3 separate regions of the Mus musculus genome follow, and regions 2 and 3 are each reported to be linked to region 1. The links are microRNA targets in miRTarBase. Many come from high-throughput screens and were not tested one by one. Region 1 holds a microRNA gene; each other region holds the end of a gene's coding sequence.

Evidence for each region. The annotated mature microRNA mmu-miR-425-5p reads AAUGACACGAUCACUCCCGUUGA and lies in region 1 at 4,851-4,873, opposite strand. An mRNA with a match to its seed (bases 2 to 7 or 8) in the 3' UTR can be bound and repressed. Matches are read on the target gene's strand: a 7mer-m8 pairs with bases 2 to 8, a 7mer-A1 pairs with bases 2 to 7 and ends in A, and an 8mer does both.
Region 2: the mRNA of Hdgfl3 is a reported target of mmu-miR-425-5p. Seed matches in the 3' UTR shown: 8mer at 4,473-4,480 and 7mer-m8 at 2,957-2,963.
Region 3: miRTarBase lists Sfxn5 as a target of mmu-miR-425-5p. Seed matches in the 3' UTR shown: 7mer-A1 at 2,408-2,414.

Annotation. Positions count from the first base shown.
Region 1 is chr9:108,565,678-108,573,661 of GRCm38, reverse strand. It overlaps Mir425 (microRNA 425), which reads right to left and starts at 4,885; the gene lies at 4,801-4,885. Dalrd3 (DALR anticodon binding domain containing 3) reads right to left here and starts at 3,770. Exons shown (of 12, transcript NM_026378.3): 1 at 3,587-3,770; 2 at 3,217-3,512; 3 at 2,848-3,098; 4 at 2,691-2,770; 5 at 2,489-2,617; 6 at 2,143-2,216; 7 at 1,988-2,049; 8 at 1,798-1,880; 9 at 1,545-1,721; 10 at 1,365-1,475; 11 at 1,201-1,269; 12 at 891-1,111. The coding sequence starts at 3,751. The coding sequence ends at 992. It overlaps Mir191 (microRNA 191), which reads right to left and starts at 5,343; the gene lies at 5,270-5,343. It overlaps Ndufaf3 (NADH:ubiquinone oxidoreductase complex assembly factor 3), which reads left to right and starts at 6,226. Exons shown (of 5, transcript NM_023247.2): 1 at 6,226-6,811; 2 at 6,911-7,106; 3 at 7,255-7,321; 4 at 7,403-7,503; 5 at 7,587-7,984. The coding sequence starts at 6,735. The coding sequence ends at 7,703. It also overlaps Wdr6.
Region 2 is chr7:81,880,980-81,886,471 of GRCm38, forward strand. It overlaps Hdgfl3 (HDGF like 3), which reads right to left. Exons shown (of 6, transcript NM_013886.4): 6 at 277-5,104. The coding sequence ends at 5,099. It overlaps Tm6sf1 (transmembrane 6 superfamily member 1), which reads left to right. Exons shown (of 10, transcript NM_145375.4): 10 at 2,236-3,100. The coding sequence ends at 2,427. Among named protein-coding and RNA genes, the nearest start is that of Tm6sf1, 25 kb to the left of the region's middle.
Region 3 is chr6:85,210,681-85,216,172 of GRCm38, forward strand. Sfxn5 (sideroflexin 5) reads right to left here. Exons shown (of 14, transcript NM_178639.4): 14 at 2,371-5,066. The coding sequence ends at 4,989. Among named protein-coding and RNA genes, the nearest start is that of Emx1, 25 kb to the left of the region's middle.

The sequences.
Region 1 (7,984 bases):
GCTCCTGTTTTTCCATCCCTTTTACTGATCTGGCTGTCCTCTCCTGGCTTCCAGGAGGCTGATCCTGTGCAGTGCAGCTACAGATGGCAGCCTAGCCTTCTGGGATCTCACCACGGCAATGGACAAAGGCTCTACTACCCTGGAGCTTCCAGCACACCCTGGGCTTCCCTACCGTGAGTACCGTGACACCCCTCATTACCTCTCTCACAAGATAAAAGCGGGAGCTAACAGCCACTCTCTTCCTCCAGAGATGGGCACCCCCTCCATGACCGTGCAAGCCCATAGCTGTGGCGTCAATAGCCTGCACACTTTGCCTACACCTGAGGGCCACCACCTTGTGGCCAGTGGCAGTGAGGATGGGTCCCTGCATGTCTTCACACTTGCTGTGAAGATGCCAGAGCCGGAAGAAGCTGATGGGGAGGCTGAGCTGGTGCCCCAGTTATGTGTCCTAGAGGAATATTCCGTCCCCTGCGCACATGCTGCCCATGTGACAGGCGTCAAGATCCTAAGTCCCAAGCTCATGGTCTCAGCCTCCATAGACCAGCGGCTGACCTTCTGGCGTCTGGGACAGGGTGAGCCCACCTTCATGAATAGCACTGTGTACCATGTGCCAGATGTGGCCGACATGGACTGCTGGCCTGTGAGCCCTGAGTTTGGCCACCGCTGTGCTCTGGCAGGTCAGGGACTTGAGGTTTACAACTGGTATGACTGAGTTATCCCAGTGGGTGGAGAACTGAGCACAGGGCCTGACTGCAGACAGTAGAGCAGGGATCAGCTGTCTGTGTCACGCTCAGTGTGCTCTGGGGAGGCGAGGCAGTACCATAGTTCTCGCAAGTATTCCAGTAGGGTGTTGCATAGGAGGACCAAGAACACGCCTCACTCTCACAATAGGATGAAACTGTATTTATTCTGACTTTAAGTGCCCAACATCTGTGAGGTCTTGTTTCTTTCCCAGTTGATGCTTTTATAAACATTCCCAGTTATTGGGCCCTTAGATGTGGCTCAGCGGAGGGAGGCCCAGCATAGCCAAGCCTGTGTGGAACACCTCACGCACTGCCCTCAAAAGCTGTAGGCGAGCAAACATCTGACCAAAGAGGTGTGGCCGAGGTTCCTGAAAGAAAAGCAGCCAGGCGCATCCTCATTTCCCGTGTGCTCAGCCTTGCCCACATTTCCCGCAGACCCCCCTTGCTGTATGCTCACCCCTAGAATATGTACTCGGTTATAGTAGGAGCTGAAATCCATGCTGAGCTGCACCAGGAACTTGCATACCTAGAGACAGACGTTGAGTCGTTGAGCTGTTGTCTTTTTTCTTGTGTTACAACCCAGAATAAAGAATAATGTGTGAAATGTCTTCTGTGCCTTACCATCTCCGTGCGGACAGGGATGTGGAGGCCTGGGGTGCCGGCCAGACTCACAGTCTGGCTCAGCAGGTCCAGAAAGGGAAGGACACTGTTGAAAAGCAGCAGCCACTCACCCTGCGGGAGACAAGCGTGCTAGGAAGACAAGTCCAAGCCTTGTGGACGTTTATCAGGACCAACACTCACCTCATCATGGAGTAGTGAGAAGTCCAGACTGCTCACAAGCGGAAAAGTGGGATACAGACCTTGCTCCGTTCCATGTTTGTAGCCCTCGAAGAGTGTGGCAAGGCGGGCACAGTTATACATGACAAAAGTCCCGCTCTTTGTGCCCTTTGTTGAGATGGTGCTGTGGGCCAGGAGGAGCTGGGGAATGGTAACATAGCTGCAGAGGGCCTTGGCTCTGTACCTGCATCCTCCGTCCTGGTGTCGGGAGGCTTACCTGGCTCTGTGGGGCTGTGCTTAGCATCTCAAATTTGATGGTAGCCACGGAGAGGATGTCGAAGGTCTCAGTCCAGGCGGGGTCTGGGGTGCGAGAGAGGCTGGTCAGTGTCTGAAGACGAAGCACACAGGCCAGAGGTGTGCGTGACCTGCTTCCACCTCAGCGCACACGCAGGATCTCCCAGGTGTACCTTGTGCCAGGTCTCCTCCGTGCTTCAGAGCTGAGGCCTCGCACACCTGAGCATGTCTGAGCCTAGAAAAGCGAGCCAGTAAGCAAGGTCTCAGTGAAAGCTGTCCCTACCTTTACGCTGTTGGTGGCTGTGGATGGCATCCCTTTCATACTCACCTGTAGTACTGAGGGGCAGTCAGCTGGGTGCCGGGTACACCAGCCATTTTCACGGGACCACACACCAGGTGTTTCTGTGAAAGACTGGAAGGGCTCAGCCCAGTTGGCACTACCCTCCCCGCTTCAGGGAACTATATCAGTTGCTTTTCTACCTTGGTTTTCCCAATCTGTAACCACCAGCCTTCCTTCGTACCTCCTCAAGACACCATCATCCTTTTTCTTAAGACTACATAGTCACAGGACATTTGCACTTGTAGCACGGGTGCCTATGGTCACATCAGTCTCTAAACCCCATGGTATTCCAGGCCTGAGGTCGGAGGTGGTTTGGTTAACTTTGGTAACCAACCTGCTTGTGAGGAGCCCGGTCATCCAATTTCTGCCAGAGCAAATCCAGCTTTTGTTGCTGGAATGCCTCTTCACAGCTAACCACGTGTATAACCACGCAGTCATCTACACCAGCATCTGGACGCCCAGCCTGAGGAGAGATGGGGCAGTTACTACAAAGATACAAAAATCCAGTTTGGGCAGAGGTCAAGGCAGCCACTCACCGGGCCTGGGTGGCCGCCCTCTGGCCAGTGGCGCACAGCCTCCTGCAGCTCCGAGAGCACAGAGAGCACATCTTCAGTCACTACAGAAAACAAGAGGTGTTGAAGTGCCTGGCAGTGCAGAGACACAACCCCACCCATGTTCTGCCGTTTGTCCTACCCAAACAGTGGTCTATGCTGGGGTCATAGCCAGCAGTGCCTCTCTGTTCTACCAGTTCCTTCAGACACAGTCGGCCTAGGACGCCAGGGGGCAGCGTCGCTTCCTTAGAACCATTAAGGTTTGCAAGAACACAGGTTCTCAGTGTTTCGGTCGAGGTGCTCTTCGAGGCAGTGGGCCATTCCACCCGAAGTTTCTGGAGGAAAGTTGACATGTGAGGGTCCCGCACCGGGGGCACTGAGCACACACGTACCCTGCAAAGCAAGGGAGGCTGTCTCAGCCTGCGGACCAGGCTTAGATTATCATGACTCCCACCTTTTCTATCCCCAAATGTTCGGTCTTTTGCCATTATAGCTTCGAACACGCACTTACCCATGAGCACGCAGTACCCGTACTAGATGATCGGCTACGAGCACGGCACGCAGCTGGCTCAATCGGAGCGTCCCCGAATTACAGCGCAGTGCTGGGCAGTGTAGGACAACTCGCGGGCCTGGTGAGGCAGGTTTGGCGGGAGTAGCATAGGAGGCCAGGGCACCGAGTACATGTTCGAAGACAGCGGGCCGCTGTAGTTGGAGCGATAAACCCGCGGGTGTCGGCGCGCAGCGCAGTACAGGGGCCACTCCGGGACCCTGCAGGCAGGAGACCGCACGGAACACGCACTCTGGCACCTGCAGGCAGATGTGTGTAAGTGGGCCGTAGTTCCGTGGATCCCGCTAGGCATGCCCCACAGGAGCGCACCCACCTGGCCGTCCCTGAAGCGCGCCTGTAGCGCGCTTCGCGGTGCCAAGAAGTCTCGAACACGAAGGTGCCGGGCATGGGTTTCCTTAAACCACACTGGGCTACCAGGCCCTACAGCTGCATTAAGGGCCTCCAGCGTCTCGCCAACCCCAAGGCGCCCGGTCGCCATGGCGACCGGAAGACTAAATGGAACAGGAAGTAAGTTATCCGTAGAGCTTCCGGGAGGTCCGCCTGGCGGGGGCGGGGATCCGGCCGTGGACTCTCCTGAATGGACCAGAGCGATCGAGCATGCCAAGTGAGCTTACATTCTACCCACGCCTCCAGCTCTCCCTCCCGATGGCCTTTCCTGTATTCATGAGCCCTAACCTCCAAATTTGAGGGTCCATTTTTCCTCCTTTTTAAAAAAATCGTCACCCCGAATTATTACTTTGATAACGGATCTTTGTTACCAGGCAAGACACTTTGCCACCAAAGTTTCACATCTTTGTGTTTATGTCTCTTTTTTCTTTTTCTGCCCCATTTAAACAAATTAAAGGCCAGACGCACGAGACGAAATGTCAAAGGAATAAGGCTGTACCATTAATGACACTTTGTTTTTCAAGACAGGGTTTCACTGTGTAGCCATGGCTGTCCTGGAACTCTTTGTAGACCAGAAAGTCCTTGAACTCAGAAATCCACCTGCCTCTGCCTCCTGAGTACTGGGATTAAAGGTGTGTGCCACCACTCGTGTCTTCCATTAAAGACTCTTTACCGCCTACTTGGAAAAGTAACGAAACAAAGCAAAATTTGAGTTCTGATTATTGGTACGCCTTTCCTCGGCTGCGGTATGGAATGTCTTTATTCCCAGTAAAAGCCCAATCGGATAGAATTGCCCATCTTGATACCCGAGGAATTAGTCATCATGATTCCAGGATTACCAGCCTTTAATGTTTTTCCTTTAAACTGGTGTTACCGGCACCTTTGGTTCTTTAGGCAACTGGTCAGTTTAAGACAAATGTGATGATGAGAAGACCCAAATAAGCAGAGCTCTCAGGTAGAGCAAGCTGCAGGTGAGCTTTTCTATGTCCAAACTCTTTCGTTTCCAAGTAACGTGAAACTCCACTTCCCCCAGTAATGAATGAATCCAACCGGTGAACTTTGCTCCGGAGAGGAGTGACATCTAGAGATAGGAAAAGTTCGGGAAGGCCGGGGCTATGAGGCCCTGTTTGGGAGGTGCCGAAAGAGCACTGGGCGGACACGACATTCCCGATGGCTTCTTGGGTGCCCACTCAACGGGAGTGATCGTGTCATTCCAAAGCACTTTCCATGCTGTGGTGTGGGTTCAGCTGCTAGCAGGGCTGGGACCCACCAGCAAGTTGGTGATTTTAGCTACTCTCCCTCCATGAAGACGGTTGGGGTGGGTTTTCCCCAGGAAGTGAAGATCTATCTTTAGCGAGCTGCGGGCTGGGCGGCCTTGTGGGACTCACCGCCATTGCGGCCCTTCAGAGAGAGGACCCAGGACCTCCCTGGTCAGAGTTCTCCAGGGATTCCAGACAGGGCCATCAGCCCGAGCTTTTTTCGTCGCCTCTGACTGCCACCATCAGTCTGGGGGTGCACCTGAGAGATGGAGATCAGAATGGCCCAGTAGTGTAGTGTTTCTGAGAATAGAGACCACATTATCTGGGCCAGGGCGCTGCTCAGGCAGGAGAGCAGGGAACGAAATCCAAGTGCAGCTGGAATGCTCTGGAGACAACAGCTGCTTTTGGGATTCCGTTGCCCGCTGTCCAGCCATTGGAGGAGGGCTCTTGCTCCCAGGTCACTCGCCCTGAGGCCAAACCGGAACCCGCCCATCCCTTCCCAGTGGGCTGAGTAGGAAGGAGTAGGTGTTTTAAACCAGTCTAGTGAGAATGAGACGCTCACCTGGGCCCCAGAACAATAGAAGGTGGGGGCATCCCCCGGGACGAGGTCCTGATCCGGATTAGATCAGAAGGGCTGGATTAGCCCTGTGAGTCCCAAGCAGGAGCCACTTGTACCGGGCAGGCTTCGGAATCCGTCAAGAGGGAAGCGATTCCGTGAGACCCGAGAGGAAGTAAACCCATGTGTCCACTTCTGGGACTCCCCAAAGCTTAGGACCTTTTGTCTGGTGACGGTGCCAGCTCATGAAGTGCCAGGGGCCAAACTGGCCCACATAGCAGCGGCAGGACAGCCTCCCCCCAAGCCCATTGCAACCGGCCCTGCAAAGAACCCCACAGCCAAGCCCCATTTGTGTCAAGCATCCCACCCGTCTAGTCCAGCGGATAGAGAACGCGACAAAGTTCCTCTGAGGCCAGGACAGAACCGGTGCGCAGAGATGCCCATGCCGCGGGACGCCAAGGACTCATGCGCCAGTAGGCCCTAGACTCAGCTCAAGACAGGGGGAGGGAGACTCTCGGTACGCGCGCGCAGAGCGCGCAAGGGCGGGGTGGTGCTCCAGGCGCGGTCTACTTCACGTCTGGTCCGGTTTGGCCCAGTCAGTCCCACTCGAACAGCTACTCCAGCACTGCCACGGCGTGCCCTTCCGCTGGCTCTAGCTGTCCCCAGACTTGGAGCCATTTTAAGGAGAAACCATCTGGCCACACCCCCTCGCGCTGCCGGGAAGCCAATCCATGCTCGGCCACGCCTCTCATGGAGCGCTGCGCCGTCGCCAACGGTCGCGCTGGTGACGGTTGGGGAAAGCAGCGATTTCGAGACTAGCTAGGGAAATTTTAGCCATCTGCCCCGCCCCCGGAGCCCGATTCTCCAAAGCCTGGGATTAAGGGCCTGGAGGCTGGCACCACACCCTGGCCAGGTGTTCATAACAGGACCAGGTGCGCAGCTGCCCCGCCCTGGTCCCTGGGAGCCCGAATAATGGCTGAGAATCCCAGGAACAGGCCGCGGCAGTGGCCTAAACAATACCCTTAGGGCGCCCGTACTAGCAGGTGTTTTTCCCCCTCCTCCTTAGGGACTGTCGCTGGAGGCATGGGGCGGGGTGGGCGACAGGTGCTGACACACCCGCATGGGGAGACAGAGGCTCTGCATTGGCCTACTGCGCCGTTCAAGGTGCGCGGTGCCCTCCGGGACGCAAGGGGCGCTGTGGCTACTTTGAGACAGACAACTCTGTCCCTACGACCGGGTCGTTAAGCGCCGTTGCAGCCATGGCTACTGCTCTAGGATTTCGCTGCCTTTTCCGAACGCGACCTGCGCCGCTCTGTCGGCACGTCGACCGGCTGTGGTGAGCATCCCCTGTCCAGCCTCTGACCACTTGGCCTCGGACCTTTCAATCCCGCATAGTCCGGCCGGGCCACGACTTCCTGACTTTAGCCCTCCGCAGGAGGAACCCGCGTCGGGGACACCGGCTTTCTCCGGCGGACGATGAGTTATACCAGCGGACTCGCATCTCACTGCTGCAAAGCGAGTTCCCTCAGGCCGTGTACATCGACAGCTACAGTAGCAGAGGCTTCACTATCTGCGGAAATCGCGTGTTTGGCCCTTGCGTGCTGCTCCCACAGACGGTGGTCCAGTGGAACGTGAGCCTTCTCCCCTACATTGAAATTTAAATAGCGCCAGAAGCCACTCCCTCCTAGCAAATTTAGCTTTATTTTGTTGCCTATTAGTGTCGCTGTGAGTAAAGGCTGTATAGATTTGATGTGTTGAATGGCCTCTGCTACCATACAGGTGGGATCTCATCAGGATATCACTGAAGAGAGCTTCTCCCTTTTCTGGATGCTGGAACCTAGGATAGGTATGGGGCAGTGGGTAGCACTGGGTCCTAAGTGACCACCTCTCTATCAGACCCTCATCGTTTGGTTGTCTCCACCCTTAGAGATTGTTGTGGTGGGCACTGGAAACAAGACTGAGCGGCTGCACCCTCAAGTACTACAGGCCATGAGGCAGCGGGGAATTGCTGTGGAGGTCCAGGACACGGTAGGTCGTTGGACGTGACAAGTCCACCTAGTTCAAGCCTACTCAGCCCAGGCATGCTAATTCTCATGCTGTTCTCCTTGCAGCCCAATGCCTGTGCCACTTTCAACTTCCTGTGCCACGAAGGTCGAGTGACAGGAGCTGCCCTCATTCCCCCTCCTGGAGAGACTGCACTGGCTTCTTTGGGTCAAGCCTCAGAATGACACATCAGGAACCATCAAGGAGGGCACTGCATGCTCTCAACGCTTTCTCCACACTTGTCATGCTCACCCAGGATAATAATTTATACTCCTCTTACATATTTTTGTTGCTCAGTTTGGCTGCTGACGGGAAGGGGGACGGGAATGACTAAGGGTTGTTTTCACCCAGACAATGTAGGATATTCCCTGGTCCCTTAAAGGCTAGGAGGCAGATTTGAGGAGACCCCAATAGCTTTCCCAACTTCTTTAGAAGTAGAACTACAGGTCCATGAAGTCCACAGGGC
Region 2 (5,492 bases), not on the chromosome of region 1:
TAAGCGTGGGAAAGGAACCCTGAGCAGCTGACATCAGAGGAAGCTGCAGGTGTGGGCCCACTCAGCTGCCACAAACACACCCGTGCAGTGCCAGGAGCGGCACACAACTGGTCTCACTTTTCTTTTCTCATGGGCACACACCTTTTGGTAAAGAATGTTATGATCTTCACCCCTTATTAATAATTCTGAGTGTAATGTCCTACTACTACTACTACTGGTATAGGAAAAATGCTTTCAAGATTCTTTTTGTATTCTGACAGTCACAAGAGCATTGTTGTTGAATGTTTATTGAACTCTAACAACGTGATAGGTGCCACACAAAACATTAGACACAGTATCTGCCCAGTGGGCGTACAATCTAATCTAAGGACGCATCATTTTTTTGAATGTTGTCATGACCTTCCTGTTCACGAGAATGAGGTATTAACTGCACTGTTCAGTGCAGAGAAGGGCCCACACAATCACTGACCTTTCATACAGGTTTACCTATATAGGTACACCCAGCTGCTCATGTTACTTATTCTTGGGAATTGTGGGTAGTATTTTTCTGTCATTTTATGATGAGCACAATAATCTCTAAGGATAGAATCACTAAACCCACAAGTCTGACAAAACCAGGGTTCAAAACTGGCCTCTAGTCCAGAAGAAAATTGTTGTATGTTCAAAAAAACAGCTAAAGCAGGGCCCAGAGAACAAGTGTCAGGAGTCAAGGCTTCTGCCAGAGTCCCCAGACTGTTCACAGCAGTGTCTCTTCTGGGCAGCTTCCAAAGTGCCCTTTATTCTCAAGGACTCTGTCTGTGTAGCCTTGAGATGCACTCATTTGCTGGGCCTTTGGCTTTGTGCCCTAGGGAGTGTGTCTGCGGGCAGAACCTTCTCAGTGCCCGAGGAGAATCACAGTGTGGGTAAGCCACTTGTTGGTCCTTGTCAACACACATCAGGAATTTAATTTTTATTTCCAGAGTAGTAAAAGTATCCGGAATATATCAGTAATTTATAAATTGTAGCCCATTAAAATATCTGCCATTTATACAAATTCCTAAACATGCTCTTTTCTTTGCCAAGGTCACATCAAATGCCAAGTAGCACTTTTATCTGTTAGCACTTAGCACTCTCAATTGATCATATGGAAGGACATATAAGGTAACAATACATTAAGAACACACTCTCTAGTGATTCACTGTTACTTCTGTCTCTTTAGATTGCAGGATCCTTTATCGTCTCACTTTGATCATAGTATACTGATAATCTGCCATTTAACTACATTTAAATCTTTAGTCTTTATTTCTGTGTATCTTGAATTTCAGGCAAACATAAAAGTGCAGACTTGGGGTTTGCATTTTATAATAACAAGTTTTCTGAGAAAAATACTCTGTCGGTTTTCAATTCTGCTATGGCCTGTATTACTTTTCTAATAGTTTTTCTCTGTGCTTATGAAAAGTACAAAAAACAAATGAGCCAAGCAAAATTCAACTGGCACATTCTGAATAGTTTATAAACTATCCCATGTAAACAGAGGGAGCCCTTGCTGTTCTGTTCTGAAACTTCAAACATGCTGACCAGTCACAATTCTAAGTAGATTTCAGTCTGATTTGGAAAGGCTGCCTGTGTATATATTTGCCATTTTATAATCATATTGCTATCCACAGCCAAGCTATTAACAAGCTTACCTTACAAACAATCATAGTGCTATTAAGTTACATAAAACCAAACACACGGATGAATAAGCAGTACATGTGATGGTCTCTGAGCTCTGGCATCCAGTGGTTGGTCTGAGACCCTTAGTGCTTCTCTCTAAAGTAGCTCCTCATACTAATTACAGCTTAAATGTTAAAACCCAACTTCATTTGTAATTCAAACCCAATTTGTGAGACCTTGCTGAGTGTCTATATAGTTAGTGTTCCTAAGATTCAAATTAGAAAGAGGGGGAGATTTTGTTGTTGTTGTTGTTGAATTGAGCCAGTATTGTTTGTTATTTGGCACAGGATAGGTTAAAAATACACAACTGGAATAATAAAATCACACTTTAAGAAGGATACATTATTTGAATACTTATATCAAGAACAACCTTAAATTTAGTGAAAGATTATATATTAAGACTGGATTACCTAAAGGTATTTTGCCTTTAAGACAGGTTTTGAGGGCACATGGTCTGAATGAGACACTCAGAATTCATCATTAATCCAAGTGAACAGAGCTCATCCTTACTGTTTTTTTGTTTTGTTTTAATATAAACAGGCTCAGTTTTCTCACATTGGTGCGTCCCTTCATGCTAGAACTGCTTATGTCTACAGAGTCCCCGAAGAAGCGAAAATCTTTTTTCTAGCACTAAACATAGCATATGGAGTTCTTCCTCAGCTCTTGGCCTACCGTTGTACCTACAATCCCGAGTTCTTCCTAAGAACTAAGGCAGATGAGAAGTTGGAATAAACAAACATACCTCACAGTTCTCTCTGACCTGTTAATGGGACTGGCGCTCTCCTTTATCCCCTCCATACAGGAATACTCACAAGAACACACTTGTTCTGCAGCATACATGTGAGTGAAACTAAGGGTAGTATCTGGGTATATTCTCAGTTTTGAAAGAAAATTAAAGTTGAGAAACAGCTTTTTTAAGGAAATATATCACCATTTGTCTATGAATGTGACCATTGATTTTAGCATTGTTTGCACATAGTATGTGTGAAAATTACAACTCTAGTGCCTACAAAAAGCATAAAAATGAAACTATTCAGAAGTAACTAACCATACTATGCATAAGAAATAATTCAAAACAGCAATTGCAGGTTGGAGAAATGGCTTCATATGAAATGTATGAGTTGTTGACAATCTTAATATAAATGCCAGATCATCACAATATTTTTAAATTGATTCAAGTGTTTTCACAAGGAAAGCATATTATTTATTGCCATTTTAAAAATTGCTGTCAAAACTTCTATTGTGAATTTGAATAGCTAAGATGACACAAATCAACTTTATTAGTTGCCTTAATGAACACTTGTTTTATTGGTTGATAATATTTCTCTTGTGTTTCTGTGTATACCTTCAATACTGTGTATACCTTCAATAAAATTATTTTTGGTGTTTATGAAGATAAACTTTATTAATTTTGAAGCATTTTATATATACATTTTCATGACAAATTTTGAACTTTTTATTTAAGAAATCTGTGCCAGGTAGTGGTAGCACACGCCTTTAATCCTTGCACTTGGGATTCAGAGACAGGCTGATCTTTTGAGTTCCAGGCTAGCCTGGTCTACAGAGTGAGTTCCAGGATAATCAGGGCTACACAGAGAAACCCTGCCTCAAACAAACAAACAAACAAAAAAACCTTTGTTATATGTTCCAATTTAAAAATGCTATCTACATTCTCCATATGTTTTGCATGATAATGAAGAGATCTTTTGTCAAATTTCATTATTTTAAACTAAAATATTTAAAATTAAAAAGTACCTTTTAAAGAAAAAACCCTGACTTAACAGCCTGTCTCTTAATGAATTTTCCATACATGGAACTGCGTGAGCACAACAGGGGACCACTGATTGCTAACCGGCAGGAGCAAGCCCAAAGGACAGTGATGTCCTGGAGGGAGGGGTGAGTAGACCAGTGCATCCAGAGCCCCACATCACCTCCATCTTCACAACGACACTGGGCTCTTAGGTCTTCTTCTATTTTCTCTTCACGTTCATTAGTTCTTCAACACAGTAAGAACACCAAAAGCAAACTGGATGCACGGAAGGCTGTGTGTAAATGCAGGGTCCCCTGAGCTGGGCTGTCGCAGACGTGCAGACAGCCCCTGCTGCTGCAGCTCCTGCTGTTGCTCCCTCCTGTCCCCCCACGGCTTTCACTTAACCTAACATCCAGAATACTTAAAAAGAAACATGATAGAAAAAATAAAATTTTCACCTGCACTTAATTCTAATGTCAATTTGCTGTCAATCTTTGCTATAATACAAGAAACACATTAATACTTCACATTACACATATGAAGCCAAATAACACTAACTCGGCTGTTTATAACCTCAAACCTTACTCCCAGTACACATTCCAATAAATTTATTCTGTAAAAACAATACATTTTTTTGTTTTTGATTTTTTTTTTTTACAGTAAACTTCTCAGCTACAAACCTCAAACACACACAAAAGATCTTCCAAGGACAAGCATAGCAGGGTTGATGAGACCCAAACTGACTAATGAGTTCTCACAGTATAAGCTGGCATAAAAATAAATAAGACTCTATCACCACAAGAGCGACAGTAATGCACACGTAACAATGGTTGGCGGATGAACGTTAACTACTCTAATTCTAGTTCTAAAAGAAAAGTCTATTTTAAACTCTGTACTCAAGAGTCAATGCTTTGTTTCCCACAGTGCTCCTGCTGAGCTCAGCTTTCAGTGTAAAGTGACCATCTTGAGGGATTGGCTCAAATTGTATTGGCTTTGGGAAAAAAAATAAGTCCTTGCTTTATTTTGGTATGACACAAAAAGACTCAGTAAGTTCACATATAAACTTAGTTTGTGGACACAGGAACATGAGTTTTGAGAAGTATTAAGTTTCAACTAGCTATTTCTAATACAGAATAGGTATTGTACATATGGTTAAACTTTACACATGGCCTTAAAACTGAAAGATGACTCTAACTTCATCTCCAATACACCAACAGTATGTATCTAGGAGTTGGTTCTTGGGTTCTGCTACAAAGAAAATCCCATCCTGAAGTATTATGTTGAGCAGTCACCTAACAATATGAATTACTGTTTAGCTGAGTATCTGATGATGGTGGGAGAGAGGCAGGAAGCTGATGACTTGGAAAAGGAGCCTAGACACAGAGAAGTCTGCAAAATCTTCATCATTCTTAGTGATTAAGGGCAACTTCATGCAACCAAATAACATAAAATAAAGTCAACCTTAAAAGGGTTAAAATGTCTCTTTTTCCTTCAACAGAACAGAGAGGAATGTGACTAATGCACACACATACTGGGGCTCTGTCAATGACAACAAAGACCGTTGGTTCATATCAAATCCAAATCCAAGAATTAGACAATCAAACAGTTAACCTTCTTGTGGTGTCTCTCAATATGCAGCATTCATTACGGTAGTTAGGTCTGTAAAAAAAAAAGCAAATAAAACAAGCCTTAGATGAGCTAGGACACTACCGAGGGAAGCTCATCACCATCACCCTGTGGGCACTGGGTTCTTGTCCTTTGCAGTCTGAGTCAGCATCACAGCAGCAGTACTTAACGAAACAGCGTCAGAGGCTTTGCTTTCTATCAACTAAACACTGACACGCTACGTTAGTATCCTGTTCAAAACCAGACAAACCCTAGGGGTAACCTCTGTTGCCTCTCCAGTGGAGGAAGCTATGGCAGTGGCACATGCTGTACCACTCAAGGAGGTGAGTACTGCTGCTGCCCACCACACTCCTAAGAGAGGTGGTCTGTCTGACCGGGGTGAGCAGTATAAGCTGAAGGCCATCTGGGTGCACGCAGACTG
Region 3 (5,492 bases), not on the chromosome of region 1:
GCTGGGATTTACAAGCATGACCCAGTTGATGAGAAATTCCAACTTGACAGCCTAACTAGAGACTCAGGAGTAGACGAGAAGGCAGGCACAACAGCAGCTGCAGTAGGGACACAGGATGCTGAAGGAGTCTCCATTTTGAATACAGAGCCAGGCTCCTTGGGCCTCAGGAAAGGGTCACTCATCACTGACCTCACACCCTGCTCCCTGCCCCCAGTGTTCTGACTCTCCTACTCTTTGATTGAGTGGGGAGCAAGAGGCCTAGATCCAGGTCAGTCCATGGGCTGCATTCTTCAAGTGTTAATGATCTCTGAGCTGGGCAGGAGCTCAGTCCCCAATCCAGCTAAAAACAACAAACAGTTCCCAGGAGGGATTTGTGTATGTCCTGAGAGTCAAGGATTGCTGTTCCGATGGGGGCTGTGTAGCCCATCCGAGCTCTTACAAAGAAATTCCCCAGAGACCAGTAGCCTCCTGACCTCAAGGTACCACTTTGAATAGAGACCCCATCCCCTCCCTCTTTCCTATTCCCTCTTCATCCATTCCAAGGGGGCCCAGGGCTTGGCCTCCTACCCACACCCCAGATAATTAGGAGGCATGAGAGAAGGATCTGTTGCCTTCCCCACCAGTGAGTTGGCATTTGGTAGGTAAGTGCACCAAGTCTCTGTTCAGTTGAGTTCAGTTGGCAAAGTAATGAAACCAACTTTTAAAAAACAAGGGGGCTGGACATAGTGGTGAATGCCTTTAATCTCAGAGACAGGTGAGTCTCTATGAGTTGAGGCTAGCCTGGTCTACATAGTGAGTTCCAGGACAACCAGGGCTAAATATATATATAGAGAGAACCTGTCTCAAAAAAATGAGCAAACTAAAAGCTGCTGCTGCTGCTGCTGCTGCTGCTGCTGCTGCTGCTGCTGCTGCTGCTGCTGCTACTACTACTACTACTACTACTACTACTACTACTACTACTATTACTACTAATACTAATCAGGTTGTTCTGGGTCATGCTTATAAATCCCAGTACTGGAGTAGAGACAGGCAGATCCTGGGGTTTGCTCATGCCAGTTCAGCCAATTTGATAAACTTTAGGACAGCGAGAGACCTCAAAATCAAGGTGGATGGCTCCCGAGGAATGATACCCAAAGGTGACCTTTGGCCTCCATTCACATGTGTACACATATGTGCACCTGAATACTCCCAAACAAAAAAGTACTTACAACAGCCACTGGCCATGCTGGGACCAGCATCTGCCTACCAAATGCTTTCTCTCCATATCAGCTTCCTTCTCTGCAGGGCTGAAAGATGCTCAGTAGTCCCATAGGAGAGGGCAGGCCTCCCATATGGACTTCTAGGGGGCAGTTTGGGAGGGAAACCAGGTCTATCAGGTGATAGGGTTACTAATGCTGTGATGAGACACCATGACAAAAAGCAAGTTGGGGTGGAAAGGGTTTATTTGGCTTACTCTCCCACATCACAGGTTCCTACTGAAGACAGGACAGGAACCTGGAGGCAGGAGCTGAAGCAGAAGTCATGGAGGGATGTTCCTTACTGGCTTGCTCCCCATGGCTTGCTCAGCCTGCTTTCTTATAGCACCCAGGACCATCAGCCCAGGTATAGCACCACCCACATGGACTGGGTCCTCCCATATCAATCACTAATTAAGAAAATATCCTACACACCATCTTAATTTTCTCAATTATAGTTCCCCATCTCTCATATTACTATGGTTATGTCAAGTTGACATAAAAACTACCCAACACATGAGGGGCTCTGAGAGAGTTGGGAGGGGGCAGAGTTCTAGGATTGAGACCATACACACAGAAGACATCATATCTGTAGTTGGCTGAGATCCCTCATAGGTCTCCAAGCCATAGGCAGGCTATGGTGGTCCCCTCTCCTTCACCCTCCAGCTGAAATCTTAGAGCATTCCAGTTCCTTAGGGTTAGCCTCTTCAGCAACCACTCAGCCATAGGACTTCTTTTGTGGGTGGGGGTCAGGGGGCTGGGGACTCACATGCTATGGTGCACATGAGAGGACACACAGCAATCAGATGACAACTTTCAGGAATCAATTCTCTCCTTCCGCCATGGGTTCTGAAGACTGAATCAGTGGCCCTGGCTTGCAAAGCAATGCTCTTCCCTGGCTGAGCCATTTAAGCCAATCCTCTTCTGTGGTTCCAAGTCTTCTTTTACCAGCTCCCTGCCCTCATATGTCCTCCTCTTTTCTTTCACCCTTTCCTCTGGGCCTTTCCTGAACCCCGGGCATGTGCCTTCCTTTGGGAACTCTTCCGCAGAGTCCCTAGCTGCCTTTACTTAATCCCTCTGTGTTTCTTCATTCCTTTCCTCCCATTGCCCTATAATTCACAAAGCCACACCTGTGTGTTTTAAATTCATGTTTATTGCCCACAGCCCGTTAGTATGACATAAATCACATACATTGAGACATTTTCTGAGGTTAAAAAGTCTGAAGTCCCTAGGTATGCTGAGGCATACGTGTTGAGCCTCACTCATACCTGCCCAAGGCTGGAAGCTTAGCATGGACCTGCCTCCCACTGGCCCCTCTCCTCAGTGCCCCACCCTTCCCCAGACCAGAGACTTTCATAAGACAGCCACAATTAGGAAATGAGACAGAGTGCAGACATCTTGGTTCGGTGGCCATTTGGCATCTTGGACTTTTGGTTCCTGTACTCCCAAATTGCTTTCCAGAGATGGAAGAGCATCCTTCAGGGAATGTTTAAAAGTTATCAGAGGAGAGTTGGCCAGGAACATCAGAGCTGGAGAGCCTGCTGTAGATTTGCCCTGACTGCTGGAAAAACCACACCCAACGAGAGGTAATTTGCCCCCTTTCCTCCAGGCCTCTTTCTGTCCCCTAGCCTCAGCAAATAGGGACATTTGCATTCACAGAAAGCTTCCCTTATGGATTTTTATGAAGTCAAAACAGGGTTTAACAGCATGGCTCAAGACGCTCAGCCACCATCACTGTGGGCCACAAGGACCATCTGTCACAGCAAATCCAAAGGAGTTGCCCCCTCAGCTCACCTGGGCTCAGGGTGTATTGGAGCATGGCAGAAATCACTCCACACACAAAACACACCTACGAGGGGTACTGAGGCCATGGGGACAGCCAGCACAGAGGGCGAGCTGGAAGAACCTCTGGAGCAGGCAGGCCTGGGGGAGGGAGGTTTTGGTCCCAAGATAAATGCATAAGGACAAGGCTCCAGGACAAGTGGGGACAAAAAAAAAAAAAAAAAAAAAAAAAAAAGCTGAGAATGAACTTTTCAAAAGAGGCTTCAGCAAACAGATCTAGTGTCCAGCCAAGGCCTGGAGCCCAATACCCATGCTCAGCCCATCTTGCTACAGCTACACCTGCCTTAAGATGCTGGCAGGGAACCTGTGACCTTGTCCTTGCTGCCTCGCGCCAGCCTTTTTCTGCAACCATACATGTTGATCTTCAGCCTGACCCCTCCTGTGTCAGATTCCAGGGTCATGAGCCAGGGTTCCCATCCTAGGGTGGACAGATGAGGGCTGTGTAGAGATCAGTGTATCTCCTCTCTGTGGGTCCTTTGGACCAGGAGTCACCCTGTTCAGCTCACCCAGACCCTGCCTCCTTAGGTAGAGCTATCTCTTCCTCTGTGGCCTACACGTGACGAGATGGAGCCAGCAGCAAGAGGCCCCAAGTCTGCAGCAGTGAGGAAGGGCATGCCGTGTGACCCCTAAGCTCAGCTCAGGCATCCATACTGCCTCCTCCACAGCCAGGAAGGGTTTGGCACAAGTCAAGGTTTTTTAGGATGTAGGGGAGTCCACACAGAAGGACAAGGTGCTTTTGTAGGCTAAGTGCTGGCCATTTCCAGAATGGCCTGATGCACTTTCCAGTCCAGAATCCACCTTTGAGATGCCTGGAATGTGCACATCTGAGTGAAGCAGGTAGAGAGGAGCCCCAGGCTTGTGGGGAACCCAAGTTCAGTCCTTCGCTTCCAGGCAGGGAATGGAAGCTCGGAGATGTGGGTGGCTTGTCCATTGCTGAGGCGACCTCTCAGGCAGTTGCACCCTCAGGATCCGGCCTTGCACCCTCAGGCAGGAGACTCCTCTATTGCAGAAAGGTGTGGGTTGTGACAGCTTCAGTGGCTGCAGACTGGACCACAGTGGGCTCAGCCCACCTTTGTCCCCGTAGGAAACTCTAGCTACTTGTGGAAAAGAACCCTCCTGCAAAGCCCAGGCAGGATCCTCTCTCCTTGTTCCCACAGAACAGTGTTGCTTCTTGGGGATCCCTGACTAGAGCTGGGCTACTCTCAGGGACCTGGAATCAATAAGAGCTCCATGAAAGATGACCCGTGCCTGGGGTCATCTGACTTTCCCTCAGCTGTGGGGTGGGTAGGAGCTGGGTACATTCAGAGCCTGGTGTTCCCGGAATCTTCCAAGGGGTCTCTAGTGCTCTTTGATAGAGAAAGCCAATTCCCAAAAACCTTGGTTCATCCTGTGGGGTGCAGACCACCTCCCTTCCCTTCCCTTCTCTAACCCGAGGGGCCCACCAGGCCTAACCATTATACTCCCCTCCCATCAATGCAAACCAGTTCCCATGCTCCTCTGGCTCCCGCCACCTGTCCTGCTACTTTTGGTCAGCTGCAACCAAGGCTCAGACTTGCTTCTAATAAAAAAAAAATTAAAACAAACCGAAAAAAAAAAAAAAAAGAACATATAAAAGGATACTACTTCTACCCCAGAAGCACTCTACAGTTCTTTAGCTCACACGAAATTGTGCTGAGTGGAGTTTAGCTGACCCCATGTAAGGCCCAGAGATGCACTTGATTCTTTTTGTGTAGGAAATGTGTCAGAATTCCTCTCCCCTATGTTAAAATGTGAATGGTTAGTCTCCCTACTGACGGAGGTTGGCTGCTTTCCAGGCAGCCCCTCCTTGCAGAGACAGCTCAAGAGACTTCTCTCCCCACCCCGAACGCCCGGCCTGGATAGTGCTGTGTGCCCAGGCCGGCTGGTCTTCACTCACAGCCCCTTATTGTACACCACTGTCCGGCTGCTGGTAGCCCGGGCTATCTCAGGCTCCAATTGGGAGGTTTCAATCTGAGGAGAGAAAGAGAAGAGTGCAGAGCTGGGGAGTGCCAGGGCAGTGGCTCTAAGGCCTGACCTGGTACCTACAGTTCTTTTCCTCTGCATGTCCCCTAGCCGGTACCTCTATGTCCTAGCAAGAGATATGCGTGCTTTCTCTTCTATCAGCTCACGATTAGCCTCTTTCTTGTCTACATTCTGGGTTTCCCTCATTGGAAATACCCTAGTTCCTCTTACTGCAGGCACATTTGAGGACCCATTGTCTAGTCCTCCTTAAGCCTTTTCCCTGGCAGTACCCCATTCTCTGCTCTCCTGGACCAATAATACTGCAGGTCTCAGATACTCTGTCACACACACACACACACACACACACACACACACACACACACACACACACCAACTCAGGTCTCAGGGACCATTACTTCAGCTCTTTCCCAGCCT